2 linked regions of the Canis lupus familiaris genome follow. The protein of the gene in region 2 interacts with the protein of the main gene of each other region in a pairwise test. Links are inferred from orthologs where the notes say so. Each region holds a gene or a part of one and is shown on either strand. Other genes may lie near its edges.

Region 1 (3,812 bases), on a different chromosome or scaffold from region 2:
GGAGTCCTGAACTGGTGCTTTCAGATTCAGAGCACTCCCACCTGCTACTCAGAGGCAGGTGGTACCTACAGCTGAATTAGTCTGTGCTGAGCACTGGAGGACCTGGAGAGTTGGGGCTTTGCTGGCCTCAGCTGCCTTGGGGACAGATATCCCTAGGGGTTAGGTGCGTACCACTGAGAAGGATAAGATAGAAAAGCCTTGGAAATGTCCTTCCAATGCCCCTGAGAAGACCCCATTTTATAAACAGCCATTCAAGGTGGTGAAATAGCCTTCTGCAGGTTGAATCCTAGCTCACTACTAGCACCTTATTTTCAAACCTGCATGACAGGACAGGTCACCAAAGAATTGCTCTTTCATGGAAAAAGACCCAATTTATCTTCTGTATGGCAATATCAGAGTGGCCAAGCCAAGAACACAAGAAGTGATGGCAGTGGAATTCAGGACAAAATTCAGGTTCTGTCTTCTTGTGCAGCCTTTGAAAAAGTTTAATTTGCATGCCCAGTGGCAGCATATACGTTCCAGTGTAGCAATAATAACCTCAGGATTAGGACTTCCCACCTGAGAGGAAATCATCCCTTTTGCTCTCCCCTCCCACCAAGTCTGATCAGGAACAGGGTTGAGGAGGCTAACTCTGGTGGAACTGGGGGTCCCTGGCTTCTAGAATACAGATGATGATGTATGAGTGATTAATCTCAGGTTCCAACTCCCTGGTTGAGACTAGACCAGAGAAGGGAATCTCTGGAGGCAGCACCACAGGTGGGGACAGGAGTGCAGGGGTGCAGGGGTGGGGGTGGGGAGATGGGCCTATGGCTCCCACATCAGGGGTTGCCTAACTCTTGACTTCAGTCAGGAAGGGACTCTATCCAGTAGCATCTCCATGAGATTGTGATCCTCAAAGTACCTCCCTTTCACATTTGGGATTACAAAGACTAACTCTGGGGCTGAAGGAGCCCAGACATTCCTCAGGGCTGCTAATTTAACTCCTGATCATCATAGTTGCATCGATCTGTTGTTAGGGAAATATAGGTGAACATGCACTCCTGGTGTTTAAAAGTCAGGGCCACTCAAATGATGATTGGTTACTGGTTCTGTGTGGAGATGGGGGAAAACAAAAAGATACAACTATTTTAAATAGAATGTTGGCTTTGGATACCTCTCTTCAAACCTAATCTGATTTCCCTAAAACGGTACTTACTTTTAGAATATCATCCAAATGCATGATTTCTTGGTTCAGATCCTGAAACACTTTGTACTGCTCTTTATGTGGCTCTAATGCAAGGAAAAGCCCACTAAATGCATCCTCTAAGCTTCCATCTAGGAAGGATCTACAGCCTTCGGATTCTCCACTGACAGAGCCCTCAAAGAGCTGCCTCTCCGTGGCCACTGGCACCTCCGCCGTGGTGAGCCTCTTGACCAGCTGCTTTGTGATGTTTCCTTCGAAAGTGTCCAGTTCCACAGGCTTGAGCTCAGAGGCCTCATCAGACTCCTGCAGGAGCGCCTCGGCCACATCCTTCTCCAGGAACAGGTGCTTGGTGGCAGCACCGGCAGACGCTCGGCGCGTCTCAGGGTTCCCAGGCCCATCAGTGTCCTCCTCCGGGTGGGGCTGTGACTCTCGGCCTTCTCTGGAGGAGTTCCTGGAAGATGCTGAGCTAGAGTCATCCGTGCCCTCATTCGGGGAGCAGAGGCTGCTGTGGTTCAGCTCTGCAGGGGTGATGGTAATTTCTGGATTTGTGGAGCATGTGTTGGCCAGAGAGCCAGCTGGGTCAGGGGTGAGGGCACAGTCCCCGTTGGGTAGGTCACTGAAGCTGAGACACAGGGGTGTCTTCTCCTCAGCTGCCTTTCCATGTTCAAAGACGTCATCAGGTAGATTAGACTGCGGATAAAAGGCAACTCGTTATTATTTTAAATACAAATGATGTGTTTGGTAAGGGCACCTGGGTGGCTCAGTTGTTGAGCGTCTGCCTTTGGCTCAGGTCATGATCCCGGGGGCCTGGGATTGAGTTCTGCATCAGGCTCCACGCAGGAAGCCTGCTTCTCTCTCTGCCTTTGTCTCTGCCTCTCTCTCTGTGTCTCTCATGAATAAATAAATAAAATCTTAAACAACAACAACAAATGATATGTTTGGTGTGGTTTATTTCCAGACAAGATGCCAAGCCATTAAAAGAAACAACCAGCACTTTCATAATATTAACTTTTTATTTGTTGATTTTGTGTGTGCATATGTGTGTGCGGTTGCATGTGTGGCAAAAGAAAACAAGCCCTTACAAACTATTTCTGGTGCTGCATCTAGGTGAAAGTTCATTATACTATTATTAGGTTTGATATTTTTCAAAAGAAAAGATTGGGGGAGTATGGGAACAGAGCCTGTTTCCTAAAATCCAGGATCTCACAGTATTTGGCAGCCATAGTTCTGAATAACACTACCAATTTTTTTTTTTTTTTGGCATTTATCTTAAAAGACTTTCCAATGTTCATGCTAGTTCACTCAAAAGATGTGATGCTTTGTTCTGCTTCACTTCTCATAAGTTATTTTAAAAGAATCTCTATCCACAAATCCCAAGCCCTTGAAAATGTTCTATTAATTTAGTAACCATGCCACAAATAACCAAAGGCCAGAAATATACTCGCACAGCTTCTGTAAAAATGGAAGAAAAAAGATGAATAAACCTGAACATCTCCCAGGATTGCAGAGCCAGAACTCTCAGGGTGTCTGGAAACACCAAGTTGTCTTTTCAAGCTGACCCAGGCTGGGTCAAGCACACTCTGTGATTCATGAAGCAGAACGCAGAAGGGAGAGAGGTTACAAATATCCAGGTAATCAAGATAATTTATTTGTGCAGGCATTAAAATGATGTCTAGGTCATCTCTTCCTATGCTGTGGTCTAGGTGGTATCTCCGTGCCAAATGTGGCTCCATGGAAAAAGTGTTCTAGTATTTGAGATCAACTCCTTTGAAATGGATAATTTCTCTTCGGTTCCAGATTTGATATTTTAAGTAAATGTAAGTACTGAGCAAATGCCTATTTTAACTATATGGAGGGCAAAGAGGGGCCTTGTGGTAGCAATAGGTTGGGCTACTCCCTGGGCTTCTTCCCAGGGGGTCCCTCAGGCATCTCACAGAAGTCCTGGGTCCTCCAGGTGGTCCTGCCCTATCTCATCTCATCTCCAAACCACACATCCTAAGCAGGCAGTCTGCTTAAGTCAGGGTTCTTATTCAAATTTCAAAGTCCTTGCCAGCCATTTCTCTTGATCCCATGTTCCCAAACCTGACTGGCAGCTATGGGAGTGGCCAACATTGAGTTAGATGAAGCTGGGATGCTCTATTCAAGAATGGGAACTTGAGGTGTGCCATGAGGGGACGAGCCCATCCATGGGCACACGAGAGTACAAGGGGATGTGTCTTTTCTGATTGAGGCATGACATAATGAGGCAGGTCCCCAGCACAGGGATGGTGCTGCCTGGAGACAGGTGGTCCTGGAGCTCCACCCCACAGGATGGGGAGGTAGAGGCGAGGAGGTAGAAGAGCCTTCCAGAAGGAAAGTGTGTGCACAGGAGCAGCTCCTGAAGAGGGTGGTCCAGCTGGAGGGGGGTGGGGAGTTTGGGAGGCTGGAGCAGAGAACAAAGAATGGCCAACGGCAGGTATGGCTGAGGCCAGATGGATACAGCCCTCTGAGGAATCTGCCTGTACCCAAAAGGCTAGAGGAAGCTGCTGAGTTTTTTTCTAATCCTGTTCTCATTTTTTTTTTTTTGTTTATTCATAGAGACAGAGAGAGAGGCAGAGACAAGGCAGAGGGAGAAGCAGGCATCATACAG
Region 2 (4,435 bases):
CCCCAAAGAGCACAGTATAGTAAGACACATTAACACACATGTTTAAAATTTAGTTACATTAATATGTAGGTGCAAACAAAATTCCTCTAGCCAGGGACATGAAAGACTAAAAACTAAGTGCTACAGGAAGGTAAAATAACTTTTAAGTACCTTTTAAAGTACAAATATATGTGATTAAAATCCAGTGATTATGTACCATTTATCATTATCACTAGCAGCCAAATACAATTAAACCCAAAGTGTTGTCTAGAGAAGCTCAGCAAGCCCAAATTCGTTCTCTTAGAAGCTGAAGTATCAGTCTGTCTTCTGAGAGTTAACATAAATCTCTCAGCTCTAGAACTAAAACAACCCAAAGTAGCAACTCCTCCTCCTGTCACAGCTTGAATTCCACCTCAATATCTACCTGTTTTCACTCTCCTCTAAGAACAACCAGGACAAGAGAATACGATAAAACTACTGCCACACATACACAGAACTATTTACTTAATATGTGCAGTTTCTCACCATCCCACCTCAAATTAATAGGCAAAAGAGCCCTCAGTCACATTATAACATCTTGGTCTGACCTAATTATGTTGGGCTTTGGAGCAGGGGAGTCTGGGCCTCACATTGGAAGAAGTTGTTCCCTCAAGAAGACCCAAACACCCCTGGGTGGTACACTCAGTCGAGCATCAGACTCTTGGTTTCAGCTCAGATCATGATCTCCAGGTTGTGAGATTCGGCTCAAAGTTGGCCTCCGAGCTCAGGGAGGAGTCAGCTAGGGTTTCTCTCTCTTCCTCAAAACCTCCCCATGCTCGTGCTCTCTCTCAAATGGTTAAATAAATCTCTAAAAAAAACAAACAAACAAACAAGCGAACAAAACCCCCAAAACACCTAAAGCTAAAACTAGGCCAAGCAGGGACTCTGTATATTCATTTATGTATTTCAATCAACTGCTGTAGGACCATCCAGTTCCGGGGAGGAGAGCGCAGTGAAAGCTAAAGAACTGAGTTTGTTTAGAAATGAATTTTTCAGGTTCTCAAAACATATATAAAATCAGTAATATGTAAAAGAAGAAAATACTGGAAATAAGTCCTGAATTTTACTTAACTCTAAGCAAGCTGTTTCAGAGTACAAGAATACCTCAGAGTTCTGGCCTGCACCTGACCAGAAAAATGACCTTAGGAAATTTATGTAAGTCTCTGAGACTCAGTTTCCTCATCTGCAAATAGGGTTAGACCGTAAGTCCTGAAGATACCTTTGGGTCTAAAATTCTAGATCTACGAAAAAGTCAGTGGATTTCTATTCTCTTCTTCCCTCCAGTACAAATTTTTTATGAGAAAAGAAGCCATAACTCTAAGCCTAGACTCTGACTCAAAGTGAGTTTTCTTCTATTTTGTTAGCTTCCCAAGGGCCACCACTCATCTACAAAAGTAGATGGAACTACCAAAAAAACAATTTATCAAAAGATCTTTAAGTTTTCCTTCACAATTAAGAATTAGTCTTGTACTTTCAGGCCAAACAATGTCACGCCCAACGCTCATACCAGTATCTCTACCAATTTAGCCATGTCTAAAGTGACAATCCTGCAATGGTACATATATGTACCATTTTCAACCATTTAGTGGTTGAAAAATTAAATGACTGAAAAATTCTCACCACAAATAACATTTTAAAGAATTTTAAGTATTTTTCCCCTTCAGATCTGGCAGGGAGGGCTATAAAATGCATACCTGAATAAAAAAACATTTACTTCAAAGACAAACACCAAAAGAAGGAAACATATCACCAATATTGGTAAAAACTTTAAATCAGGACCATTAAAAAAACACAAGTGGAAAACACTGTGATAAAAAAGGATACCAATTTTCCACCATAAACTACTGCACATTGTCTTGACCAAATCGATTTGAGTGCAAACAGTGCTATTTAATAAAGACAGCTTGTAACTGGGTTCAATCGGTAACTAAAGACAGATGTTTAGGGGATTCCAATCAAGGTAATAACTTAGACTAAGCAAAGTTGCAAATTAATACTCTATTTCAATGCAATAGAGTTTAAATCATGAAAAAGTGTTTTCAACTGGAAAATTCCCTTCTCAATACCCAAGAATCCTAACCCGTAAGATTTCAACACTACTTTACTTACACAATCTCCGAAACTACTGCATTTAAAAAGAAAATCTACCCAAAACATATCTGGACTTCACACCGTATAAAACGGTGATTCATGTTTCATATTCAATGCAAAAGCCAAGATGGAGTTGTAAAGAGTTTCTTTCCCATTTCAACTCCCGACAGCCACGCGCGCTTCGCAGGGACCCGCTGCACCGCGCGGTCGCCGGGCCCAGCTCGAAGCCCCCGCCCTGCCCCGCACGGCCGTGAGAGAGGAAGAGCCAGGGACCGCGGGCGGGCGTCTTGGGCTCCACCAGGCCTGGCCGGGCGGGGGAAGGGGCGCGGGAGGCCGCGGGGCGCGCTTCCGGGGACTGCGCGGGCGGGGCCGTCGCTTTGGGGAGCGGGGCCCCGGCCAGAAGGCTGGGGCCGGGGCCCAGGGGCAGCCGGTTGAGAGCAGCAGGTGGGGCGCGGCCGCGGCGGGGCGGCGGGCGGGCGGGAGGCCGGAAGAGCGGCGGGCGGGCCCGGGGCGCCGCGGCGCCAGGAGAGAACCCTCTCGGCTCACCTCAGGCGACGACTCGCAGTCCGGCCTCTCTGCGCCGAGTGCGCCTGTCCGCGAGTCGGAAGCTCGGAGACTGGGGCGGGTGGCTGAGAAGACCACGGCGAACTAACGAGAGAACCGACGGAGGACGGCGGGCGGCGGGCGGGGAGCGCGAGCGAGGGCGGTCGGCGGCGGGAGGGCGGGGAGCGACGTGCGCGCCCCCGTGTGCCAGCGGGCTCGAGCCGGCCCCAGCCGCGGCCCCGCGCACGCGCGCACACTTACAGCTCAGCCACGATTGCTCAGGAGCGCGTCCACGCCCTAATAGCAGGGCGCTTAACCAATCACTGCAGCCGCGTGGGGCATCACGGGAACTCCGGGGCTATAAAAGACCTGGTTGCTATTTTATGCTCCTCGTCTCACTCATCGTTTAAGTAAGCAGGGTGGGGCTAGGTGCGCGTGCGCGGTTTTAGTACTCCTCCCCAAACTGCCAACTCTTCGCGCAAGCGAAGTAGACTCGCCTTGCCTGGTTTACGCGTGCGCATTAACGGGCCTGGCCCGGAAGACCAGACGCCTGCGCAGTGGGTGCTATAGTGACAGTCCCGGGTGGGGCATGGGCCAGTCATGGCGGAGCCTTGGTCTGGGCAGTCCTTGCAGTCTCTGCCGACCTTGGTGCTGGGCACACTGGGCACCCTGGGCAGCGAGTTCCTGCGGGAGTGGGAGGCGCAGGACATGCGCGTTACCCTCTTCAAGCTGCTGCTACTGTGGTTGGTGATAAGTCTCCTGGGCATCCAGCTGGCGTGGGGGTTCTACGGGAGCACGGTAACAGGGCTGTATCACCGCCCAGGTGAGGCTCCCCATCCCCACCGGACTGCATCATTGGGCTCCCCAGAACTCCCTAGACTACCACTGGTCTCCTAAGAACCTCATCACAACTTTATGCTCTACCCTGACCCATGCCAACATACCATTTCATGCCAGAAATCCCGGACCACCCATCACATTTTAACCGCTCCCTTGAACCTCCATCAGACAATACCACTAGTCCCTTTAAGGCCCCCACAAGACTCCATCAAACAACATCACTGGCCTTTAACTTGATCTGGGCTGATACCTGCTCAGATTCCCACCCCAAGCCTGCTGCAGCTCTGGATGTGTTCCTGCCCCCAGGTCTGGGCGGCCAGAACGGATCCACACCTGATGGCTCCACGCATTTCACTTCGTGGTAAGTAAATCTGTGCCCATGTCAACCCCATGCTTGGCAGGCAGAAGACACATCTATGCTGGGAACAGGGACAGGGCTAGGAAGTTCTCAGGGCAGGAGTCCACCAGTTTAGTGGCCTTTGCAGCAAGCTCAAAGGCTTGCAAGTGGAGCTCAGGCTTCGAATGATACCAATTTAACAGCCCATTGATAGGCTATTCAGCAACCTGTGGGGCTGGTGGTGCTACTGTCAAAATCTCAGAGATAAAGTAGCAGGTCTGTTGAGTTCAACTCTACTGCAAGCCCCTCAATTTAGAAAGGCAGGAGGCTTTGTCCTTTTTTTTTTTTTTAAGGTTTTATTTATTCATGAGAGACACAGGCAGAGGGAGAAGCAGGCTCCATGCAGGGAGCCTGACATGGGACTTGATCCTGGGTGTCTAGGATCACACCCTGGGCTGAAGGCGGCGCTAAACCGCTGAGCCACCCGGGCTGCCCAGCCTTTGTCCTTATTGCATTGACTGGCCTCATCAGGGTCAGCCGCCTCATCTGTAAAACATCAACTCCCTAATCAAGAGCATTCATTCAACCAATTTCTGAGCTCCTACC

The links.
Region 1: the proteins of RHOA (region 2) and RIPOR2 interact in binary tests that used the Homo sapiens proteins (3 or more experiments, as listed by UniProt). The link is inferred for Canis lupus familiaris from reciprocal best matches to the Homo sapiens genes RHOA and RIPOR2.

The regions. Positions count from the first base shown.
Region 1 is NC_049256.1:24,261,998-24,265,809, forward strand, and holds part of RIPOR2 (rho family-interacting cell polarization regulator 2), read right to left. Parts: intron 1,874-3,812; coding exon 1,196-1,873; intron 1-1,195. UniProt on the Homo sapiens protein: Acts as an inhibitor of the small GTPase RHOA and plays several roles in the regulation of myoblast and hair cell differentiation, lymphocyte T proliferation and neutrophil polarization.
Region 2 is NC_049241.1:40,229,940-40,234,374, reverse strand, and holds the start of RHOA (transforming protein RhoA), read right to left. Parts: upstream 2,825-4,435; 5' UTR 2,656-2,824; intron 1-2,655. Other genes in the region: TCTA (T-cell leukemia translocation-altered gene protein), read left to right, coding at 3,253-3,475, 3,751-3,853. UniProt on the Homo sapiens protein: Small GTPase which cycles between an active GTP-bound and an inactive GDP-bound state.